Linked DNA regions of Caenorhabditis elegans. The protein of the gene in region 1 interacts with the protein of each later gene in a pairwise test. Each region holds a gene or a part of one and is shown in the gene's direction. Other genes may lie near its edges. The genes, in order: hcp-2 and vpr-1.

Evidence for each region.
Region 2: the proteins of hcp-2 (region 1) and vpr-1 interact in a two-hybrid assay, tested with the Caenorhabditis elegans proteins (one large-scale study listed by BioGRID).

What each region holds. Positions count from the first base shown.
Region 1 is NC_003283.11:9,644,132-9,650,884, forward strand, and holds hcp-2 (HoloCentric chromosome binding Protein), read left to right. Parts: upstream 1-1,727; 5' UTR 1,728-1,750; coding exon 1,751-1,801; intron 1,802-1,846; coding exon 1,847-2,448; intron 2,449-2,495; coding exon 2,496-2,997; intron 2,998-3,045; coding exon 3,046-3,333; intron 3,334-3,381; coding exon 3,382-4,776; intron 4,777-4,821; coding exon 4,822-5,085; intron 5,086-5,132; coding exon 5,133-5,695; intron 5,696-5,750; coding exon 5,751-5,973; 3' UTR 5,974-6,080; downstream 6,081-6,753. Other genes in the region: atl-1 (Serine/threonine-protein kinase ATR), read right to left, coding at 1-12, 60-287, 333-815, 864-943, 988-1,052, 1,101-1,202, 1,250-1,323.
Region 2 is NC_003279.8:5,867,538-5,871,647, reverse strand, and holds vpr-1 (Major sperm protein), read left to right. Parts: upstream 1-1,693; 5' UTR 1,694-1,700; coding exon 1,701-1,875; intron 1,876-2,033; coding exon 2,034-2,319; intron 2,320-2,410; coding exon 2,411-2,558; intron 2,559-2,644; coding exon 2,645-2,773; 3' UTR 2,774-3,382; downstream 3,383-4,110. Other genes in the region: F33D11.10 (RNA helicase), read left to right, coding at 3,519-3,854, 3,903-4,110.

The sequences.
Region 1 (6,753 bases):
TTTGATTCGCCGCTGTAACAATTCCGAGATTTAATTGTTTAATATTCTAATTAACTCACCATGCAAATCTCACTTGCTGTCATACATAGCCTCGCAGGAAACTCATGTATATCATGGTTTGTCGATAAATCTAACAACAACAAGGAAAAGTTTTCTAGTAGTCCAAACTTGTCATTTGCATCATCGATTAACTCTAAATAAATTATGAGCCATTGAACTGGTTTTTGTCGAAGTTCTTTATGCATAATCAAAACTTTGCCATGATCCTGTAGAAAGTGTTGTATCTCCTGAAATTGATAAATTATACATTCGAAGTATAAAAATGAAATTACATTCAATAGCTTTGGAAACGTCATGTGATTGGTCGACTTCTTCGCAGTTAATGAGTTAAATGTGGCAAACAGTTCATCAATGAACAGGGCCTGATCAAGAATAGAATTGTGCAGTTTTTTATATTTTAAGATTGTCAATCCAGCACGCAAGCAATTTTCGGTCATCGAGCAATCATTTTTCAGTTTGTCTTCCAACTGTGATCGGCAGTGAGGCCAAAACAGAACCAATTCATCGAAATGAACGCATTCTCCTGCGTTTTCTCCGAATAAAGTTGAAATGATATTCCACTTCAAATGATATCTAAAAAATCCTGAGGCACCTAATGAAATAGCTGAAGCAATTTCAGGAGTGATTAATTGTGGCAGAGAAGACGAAGGTTCGACGTCACAATATTTAACAACTTCCAGTAATCCTTGCAGGAAATAAATAGTTTCTCTCGGGTCTTGTTTCGTCACAGAGATCATCAGTACTGATAGAATTCGCTGAAATAAATAAAAAACATTGAATTATTGAATATAATTCTTGCTAACGTCAAAACATTTTGCCAATTCTTCATCCTCAAAGGCACACATCGACGCAATCACTGATTGAAATAATCTTATTTTTTCCTCTGGAACGAATATATTAATACAAATACTAAATTGTATTTTCTACCTGAAGAAAGTTCCTGCTTCTCTGTTATTAAATGTAATGTAAATGTTATACTCTGAAGGATCATTCTGAAAAAACATAAATATAATCATCATCTTCTACATTTTCCAACTCACATCTTTTCCATGAACTCATTTTCGTCTAACTGCTCGATTCGGGAAACGAAAGATTTCGATAACAATTTAGTTATGTCATCTAACAAGAATTTCATTTTTTGTCTGAAAATGTAAAATAAAAAAGTTAAGATAAGATTTAATAATTATACCTGTTGAATTCTTTCTGCGTCACATATTTTTTCGCCGTACATAGCAGAGCTGAAACATCCTTATCGATATTCATTCCCAAATATCTGAAAGCCTGCGCACGTTATTTCAGTGGTTCGATGGATATTTAACAATATTTAAAATATATTGCTAACGTTTTTGTGATAATATTATGAAGAATTCACTAATACTTACTAAAAATAAGGAAACGAACAAAGTTTAAAAATAAATTCCTTCCGCAAAAAAAATTAAGCAAAATATAGAGTTCGATTGGATCGAATATATTCGAATTTGCATTGCAAATACAAACTCGCCCTATTGAAACGGCGCGAAATTTTAAACGATTGCTCCAGTTTTTGTATTGTTTTGTTGAAAATTATTATTTTCTCGTGAAGTTCCAGATTCACTTCGTTTTATTTCGTTAAACGTGGACTGTTTTTTTCAATAGTGCAATTCCCCAACTCATTATCGTAAATTCTCAGACGAATTTGATCAAATTCAATATGGAGGAAAGTACAAACGACGGCGATGAAAACAAGCCTGCAACTGGGAAGGTAAATTAAATATTTTTGTATTTATCAAAAGCAAAACAATTTCAGAAGCGACAACAGCTTGAATCTCCGTTTTCTGCTGCGACACCGAAATCGCGTCTCGGAAAGGAATCGAAAAGGTTTTTCGGGCGTTCTGCTATGAATTTGGCCGATGGAAATCTTGAAGAAACTCGCATTGAGCCAGACTCGCGCCATTCGTCTACCAGTACCTCCGACTCTATTCTTGATGATTCTTCAATCTCCAATTTTTCCACACTCGCCCCGCCAAATACCTCCGTTGATGATAACAGTGTCTGTGAACCGCCAAGAGCTTCCTCAGCTCATGATGTCGATCCTAATTTGGAACAAACGAAGGTTTACAGTGAAGACAGCATCAGCAAAGACTGTAGCATTGCTGACGAGAGTTTTGCGACTGATGGTGACGTCACACTGGCGAACGACTTCTTCCAACAAGCAACGATTCAAGATCTAGAGAATACTCCGTCAACACCACTTCGGAGCCAGACACAAGTTGGAGACGAAAGTACACCAACTGCTCCTTCCCCACTTCGTTCGAAAATTCCAATCGAGAGTGAGGTTGTGCAGTCAACTTCTGTAGAGTCAGTTCAGTCAACATCTCAGCATGAAAAATCGAGAATTGAATATTCTTTGTAAGATTAATTTAAATTTATTCCCATTGTTAAATTGTTTATTTCAGATATGAATTCGAAATGCTGGAGAAAAATATCGAGCATGATGAAGTCGTTAAAGATCTTCAATTGAAAATTGAACTTCTTGGAGAGAAACATAGACAAACTCTTGTTGAAATTAAAGAAGCTCGTGAAGTTGAAGAGAAAATGCTCATGCAACAAGTGGAGGAGGCTGTAAAAAAGACGAAATCTGAGCGCGAAGCTGCAAAAACTCTGGAACAACTTCTTGAGAAACGGATTGAAGAGCTCGAGATGAAATTAACGGAGCCGAACGGAGAGAAACTACAGTTTGAACATCAGTTGGAAGAGTTGAAGAGTCGTTGTGAAGAGCTTACTGACAAAGCACTGAAGGTTGATGTCATGCAACACAGCATTGAGGACTACGAAAAAAAGTTTGTGGAGTTGCAAGAAATGAAAGAGGAGGCTGATGAACAACTGCAAAAGGCTAAGGAAGACATTGAGACACTACAGATGAAGTATGTGGAATTGGAGACAACGATCAACAAAGAGGTAATGCAGTTAATATCTTGCCTGAAAATTAATTATATTTTTTCTTAGGTGTTCTCCAACTCTGAAATTGAAACTCTGAAGTCGGAACATGAAATTGTTCGTAAACTGATGTTGGATGAAATCCATCGTCTTGAGAATGAAATGTCTGCTCTTCAACCGAAGAATGATACTACTGAACTGGAAGAACTTCAGAAGACTCTCGATGATCTCAAAATTGACTGTTGCAATTTGACTTCAAAAATGCTTGAACTTCAGTCAGAGCTCGTAGAAGTGAAAGAGAAAGCCACGTCAGAAATTGGGGAAGCTGTTCAGAAAAACGGTGAACTCCTGGAACAGGTTCGTAGTTCGAGTTTAGAAATAATTGCACTATATTTCTTATTTCAGATCAATAGCCTTCGCGTCGAAAATGCAAAATTGGTGGACATGGAAGGTCAGCTAAACGATGCACATCGTAAAGCGGAAGATAAAGATGTTCGAATCAGTGAACTATTGACTACCATTGAGTCTCTTCGTCAAGATTCTGAGGCCAGCGATAAACTTCTAATGGATTCGGAGTCTACACAAAATGAGTATTCGCTTGCTCTTGAAAACACAGTCTCTGAGTTGGAAACAATGCGAAGAGAATATAAGGCTTCGGTGGATAAAGTTTGCAGTCTTCAACTGGAACTAGAAGAAATTCAACATGAAACATCAGTTGAATTGGAAGAGGCGGAAATAAGAATTAAAGAATTGGAGTTGGCACAAGAAGAAGCTGTAAAAACTGGAAGTTCACAGCTCAAGAAGCTAGAAATTGTTCAAGAAGATTGTCAGAAGCTTCGTGATCAATTGAAGGAGGAACAAATTCAGCAACTTGTATCTCTTCGCGAGACTTCTGAAGTCATGCACCAGGAATCGGCTCGACATCAAGAAGAAAAGTACCAGATTCAGAGCAAGTTGATGTCGACGGAAGCAGAAGTTATTGAGCTGAGATCCTCTATTGATTCTCTCCAAGCTGAAGTTCGAGTGCAGTCAGATTCCGCCGCAGACCAAAAACACATCCTTGAAGATTATTTGAGAAAAATTCGGCAAGCAGAGGAAACCAACGAAAAACTTCGCTCTGATTTGGCCTCCTCTGAAGAACAAATTCTAGATCTGAAGAATCAACAGGAATCATTGATTGATGATTTGAAGGAAAAATTGCACTCTGCAGAAAGTACGAATCAAGAATTGCAGGTCTCTCTGGAGATGCTCAAGATAGAAGTCAGTAATGCTCGTCAGAAAGTGATGGAGAGTGAGGTTTTAAAAGAATCTTTCGAAGCCCTTCAACTGGAGTTGTCGGCATCACAAGAAGTTTCTCGATCAGTGGTTGATGCTGCAGTTCAAGAAAAAGATGGTCTTCTGAGACTGGTGGATACGCTGAAGTTGAAAATTGAAGATACGGAAAAGTCTGCTCAAGATCTTCAACAAAGCTCTGTGGAAGAGATAAAACAACTTCAATTGGACCTTCAAAATTTCAAACAAAATGCTGAAGTTCTCGAATCTCTGAATGAAAAACTAAATTCTAGTCACAAGAGGGATATGGTGGCGTTGGCATCTCAACTAGAAGAGCTTCAACATAAACTCGTCGTCGGAGAATCCCAAGTGGAAAATGTTAAGGAAGAACTGATTGGAGCTAAGATAATGAACAAGGAAATGGTTGATGAACTGAATGCGAAGCTTGGGGATGCTCTTGAAGGGATGGAAGAACTGAAAAAGAGCCTAGAAGTATCCGAAGCTAAAGTTCAGAGAAGAGAAGAAGAGGTTTAAATTCCTTAAGATTTCAGTCGAATTAAACTTGTTTTTCAGCTAATCGCTCAAGTATCGAAACATCGTGATCAGCAGGAGCAGCTTCAATTGACTCTCGACGAGCTCAAATCGGCTCAACATTCCACGGAAACATCCCGTTCCCAGTCAAATGAACTTGCTGCTCGTATCGAAGAGCTTGAAGCTTCCATCTCCTTTGCACAGAAGGCTCTTCAAGATGTAGAAGACGTCAAACATCAACAAGACATTCAGATATCTGAGGCGAATGAGGCAATGGTAAAGCTGAAGCAAGACTTTGAGACAGAGGTATATTCTTTCGAATTTCGAACAGAACATAATTTATTTCTTTTCAGAGGACATCACTTCAAAACGAGTTCAACCAAACTGTTTCCGCAGACAAAGAGCAGCTTGGTCATGCTGAACAAATGATTGCTCAGAAAGAAAAAGAGATTATCACTCTCCAAGCTCGAATCGAAGCGATGTCTCAGCAGTTCGAGGAGCGCCTTGAAGCATCGAATGTTTGGAAGACCCAAGCCATGAATGTCGGTACACTGACTGAATCGTTGTCTCAGTTACAAGTACAACTTCAACAAATGAATGAGAAGCTGGTTGCATCGGACAAATACGCAGTTGAAGTGGAGCAGCAAGCTCAGCATGATATAACTGTGATCCAGGAAGAGAAGAACGAGCAATCAGCGGCTCTAGAAGAAGCACTATCCAAAATAGCGGAACTTGAGGAGCAACTGGGAAGAGCCCAGAAGGAGATTGTACGACTCGAGAAGGTGTGTGACGATTTCGACGACGTTGAACGAGAGCTGAAGGATGCCATCTCGAAGCTTCAATCTGAGATAAAGCAATTGAAAGGAATCAAGAAACCACCAAAAGTAATGGGACTCCTTCAACAGGCCAGACTTGGGTAAGTCTCCATGATTTTCGACAAAACTCAGATATGTAAATCTTTGATATTTCAGAGTGAAGCCGCTGAGTCGTGAACATTCTCATGCGGAGCCACCAGAGCCTGTTGTTGAGGACAAGTTCGAAGATGCTCAGGATTCGTTCCAAGAAGAGTTTTCCCATTCGCCAGATGCTATCACGTCATCTACGGTACTCCATCCAGATGATCATCTTCAAGAAACAACTGCAGTTGAAACGCCGTCGAAGAAGGCGAACCGCTCAAACTGCAACCAGCAATAATTTGAACTCGTATTTTATTTATTTTTACTTTTTGTGTGCCATTACGTATTTCCGCGCACTACTCAACTGTGAATGTCTTTCCGGGTCAGAATAAATGTCTTTATGTGAATTTAAATTTAGATGATTGTGCTTTTATATTACATAGTCTTCTTCTTTGATGCATTGAATTGATTAATTAAATCCGAAAAAATACAGATCATTGATTATATTGAGTTTGTTTGATTATCATTTAAAAAATTGACCGTGATATTATCGAAAAAATACGATCGCACAAATTTCTCATAATTTATTTTTGATCTACCTTGTTGACTAGGCTCCTCCCCTTCCTTCGACAAGACGGCCACAACAAAATAACAACGGCAACAAGATTGGAGTTATGAGTTGGACTAACGAAGGACACGCCGACGGACCACATCTACCAAGAATGCAGAGTTCTCCCTTTGAAAGAAGAATATAAGCTCTCGACGCAACAGATGTACTTGGCAGCGATCAAGTCAAACACGCACCCGTGCAGAGACCTGGAAGCAAAGCGCCAACTGGAACGAACCTCTAAACCGCCAAGGATCCCGCCGCTGAAGCTATCGGACTCTGAAAAGCTCAGACTCGACAACATCCCAGGCGACAAGACGGAGGCCCAAAAGAAGAATCACACGAAGCTGGTAGCGGACTTCATCAGGAATGCACCAAACAACAAAATTCTCAACAAACCTCCACCAAGAGTGAACTACAGGGACGAGAGGACGCTGCCAAAGGAGACTCGATGCGAATTGGCACGGCTAA
Region 2 (4,110 bases), on another chromosome or scaffold:
TAGAAAAGTGCAAATTCCCCAATATTACTTCCATGTGTTTGTGTATATTTCTTCTATTAGCACATTAAAAGAACAAAAATCATTGTGTAAATAACCCCGATTGATTGATAGTTGGAGCCAGTTGTCCTTCTCCCCCTCTTATGTTTCCGATGAGTGTGTGATACGGGAAATATCTGTGTTGTCATGGAGAGTTCTCACATCCGGACGGCAGGAAAACAGAGAAACTAAGTCTAAAGCAGTACCAAGCCGAGGTGCTCTAATTGCGTCTGCACTCTCTCTCTTCCATTCAAATTCGCCGTCCTTTGCACTTTGTTTACGCAGAAGAGGACGTCTTTTTCATTCTAAAAGTCTTCTGTTTCTAGCTTCATCAGATATACATACTGCGACTTGTTAATATTCTTCATATGGATCAAATCTTCCGCTGACGCATAAGGCTATTAACTCAACTTTTTCAATTTCCGTCTCAATCTTTTTCATAAATGAGCTCAAATAATGATTTCAATCAGAGTGAAATTTTAAATATCGAACATTTCTAAACTGCAGCTCTTCTCGTTTTTCAAAAAAAGGTTCAATTGTCTGTTGTTTTGACTTGGAGGTTAATTTATAGGCTCCTGGGGAATACAAAAATTAAGATTTTATTGCATAGAACTGCCTTAGCTTAATCTTCTCTGAGTGCATTTTGCACATTCTACCAGCAAACATCTCATCCTAATTTATTCCATCTTCTTCTCTTATCCCATCGTTTTTTCTTCACGATGCTTGTGTTTTTTCGGTGCCTCTTTCGTCTCCAACAACGTGTTTCTCCTTCTCCAGGACAGCCATTTTCGCTCACACTCGTCCTCCCCTACCAAACGCACACACACACATCGCTCACACGTACACTCACACACTCGAATTATAAGTCAACGAGAGGGAAGAGACGTAGATACACTTTTCCTTCTGCGTCTATTATCTCTTACGCATCTCTCAGGACAACATTTTTTGAAAAACGTGTGCGCTCTCCACGTCTCACCCGAATTCATGTCATCTGACAGCGTTTCAGAATAATTTTTCAATATAATTTGTTATTTTCTCGAATTGGTTCAACCTTTGTTCAATACTGTGCAGTTTTGGACTTATTCGTTGTTAAAATATAGGAAATAATATTATTTTTTTGTTGTGTTTTTCATGTATCGGGTCATCCATCAGTTGCATCTCTACTTTTCTCTCCCCGATTATCAATTGACAAACGTTCAATTACTGGCTGAACAACGTTTTTGATGCCTTTCTGTTTAAATTTTGTTTATGACCTGTGTTGAATACACTCGTCCATATTTTTTTCAAATTTCAAATTCAAGATTATTGAAGACTGTATTTAGAAAGATAGACAAGCATTTGTATAACTTCTACACGATTTCGATTTTTTTTTCGTTTTTCGTTTTGCCAAGAGCAAATACGCTTGCCTCTAGGCACTAAGCACTGGCCAAAACTCAAGAGAAACTGATAACGCTAGAACATACACTGCGACTTTTTCATTTTATAGCTTTTTCGAAATTGCAAATCGAAAAAATATTCGTTTAGTGTTCGGTTTTGTGATGTACGTAAATACCAATAGAAAAAAAACAATTTTTAATTCTTTCGCCTTGATCCAAACTTCCTATCAATCTTTATTTTTTAACATAATTATTTTATATGAACTAACTTTTTTTTTCAGCAAAAAAATGTCTGAAAAGCACAGTCTTCTGCAAGTGACTCCAAATCGTGAACTCGTGTTCACTGGCCCATTCAGTGATGTTGTCACATCACACATGACTCTCAAGAACACATCAACCAATCCAGTGTGCTTCAAAGTGAAAACAACGGCTCCAAAGCAATATTGTGTTCGTCCAAATTCTGGTGAGTGATGGATTTATTTGCATTGAAATCAATTTGATATGGAAAAAGTGAAATTAAACGCAAAAAGAAAAATATGATTTGTATTTAGACCTTATCTGTTAGACTGGTTGATTTTTAAAACTGAAGTTTACTTTGACCTTCTGATTTTGATTTTTTAGGCCTCCTGAAATCTGGTGACTCGAAACAAATCACAGTAATGCTTCAACCTCTGGAAGGAATTCCATCTGATGCAGGACGACATAAGTTTATGGTTCAATCGTGTGTGGCGCCTTCGGAAGATCTGCCAGATTTGGAATCGGTCTGGAAAATAATCGATCCAGCGGAGCTGACCTACAGCAAGCTTATGGTCACCTTCGTTGACAAGAGAGATCCAGCGTCTGGAGATGATACAAAAACCTTTGCGGTTAGGAACGAGGATAGTTTTGCTTCTTCTGGACAGGCACAGTGAGTTTTTACTTATAATGGAGGTTAAAAGAAGGTTAACAATTATTGTTTCCTTCATAAACTTCATTCAATAAAAAACTAATATTTGCAGAGAGCTCGGAAGTTCGTACTCTGGAACACCATCGCATGATGGAACCGTTAACTCCCTTCGCAAATCGTTGAAATCGACAGTTGACGAGAAAGAAGAATTGCAAAAGAAAGTACATGGATTGGAACAAGAAATCGAAGTCATGCTCAAGGTAATATCAGAAAAGAAATTTGAAAAAATTAATTACACTTTGGAAAAAAAAATATGTGTTCAATTTTCTACAAAAAATATTTTCAGAAGAACCGCAAGCTTCAACAATCGCATTCTGATGGAGCTCTTGTCGACGGTGCATACCCAACATTGCAAATTTTCCTTATTGCGGTTGCCGCTTTGCTCATCGGGCTTATTGTTGGCCGTCTTTTCTAAATTCTGAATCAATTCTTCCTTCATTTTCACTTTTAAGTAACTAGTGGTACTATCATTCACGTGCTTTTTTGCTGCCACAAACATTAAAACACACAAGCATTGCTCCATTCGGATTTTCATCAAATTTAACCTTCAAATCCTAAATTTTCTAACTTTTTCTCTGCCAAGGGCGAAATTCTGAATATTTCAAAAATCAAAATGTTATTTTCTGCAATGTAAATTGACATATTTAACTTTTCGGTTTTTTGAAATTTTGAATACTTGCCTCTTTAGTGAACGCAGCGCGCAAAAATTTCAAACTTTTTCTCAAACTACTTTCACTTCTTTCCTTTGTTTATTCGTTTTCCGTTTTTCCCGGCGTCTTCTAGACCATCATAGATCCGTCTAGTGACTGCCTATCATCATACCCGGTAGCCATTATCAAGAATTTTATTTATTTATTTTCCATTCTATGGTTCCCCGTTCCCCCAACCTTTTCTCATTTATTTTATGTGTACAACCATTGATTGATATAGGACTCCATGGATTTTAAGAAAGCCCCATGCTCTTTGAAACAACCAATTTAAGTCACATGATTTGTATATGGTACAATAAAATTTGATGTTTATGGTTTCCAATAACTATTTTTATTTTTGAATTTTTTCGCCGTATTATCTCGGAGTATTTACCTGGAAATTTACGCGACTCGACAATAAAATGTCACTCGAGTGATGTTTAAAATTAATCTTTTTTCAGATTTTCCAAAATGGCTGGTAAAAAAGCAGAAAAAGATGATATGGCAACAGTGGAATTCGAATCTTCTGAAGAAGTAAATGTTATTCCAACATTTGACAAAATGGGTTTGCGAGAAGACCTTCTTCGTGGAATTTATGCCTATGGATTCGAAAAACCATCGGCTATTCAACAAAGAGCAGTTCCAGCAATTCTTAAAGCACGTGACGTCATTGCTCAAGCTCAATCTGGAACCGGAAAGACTGCGACTTTTTCAATTTCCGTTCTTCAATCATTGGATACACAAGTTCGAGAGACACAAGCACTTATTCTTTCTCCAACCAGAGAATTGGCTGTCCAGATTCAAAAAGTATGGATATAATAAATACAGAGTTGCAATAAAAAACACATTTTGCAGGTAGTTCTTGCTCTCGGAGACTATATGAATGTTCAATGTCATGCCTGTATCGGAGGAACAAATCTCGGAGAAGACATTCGCAAATTGGATTACGGTCAACACGTGGTTTCTGGTACTCCAGGACGAGTATTTGATATGATTCGCCGTCGTAATCTTCGTACCCGAGCGATCAAGCTTCTGGTTCTTGACGAAGCCGATGAAATGCTGA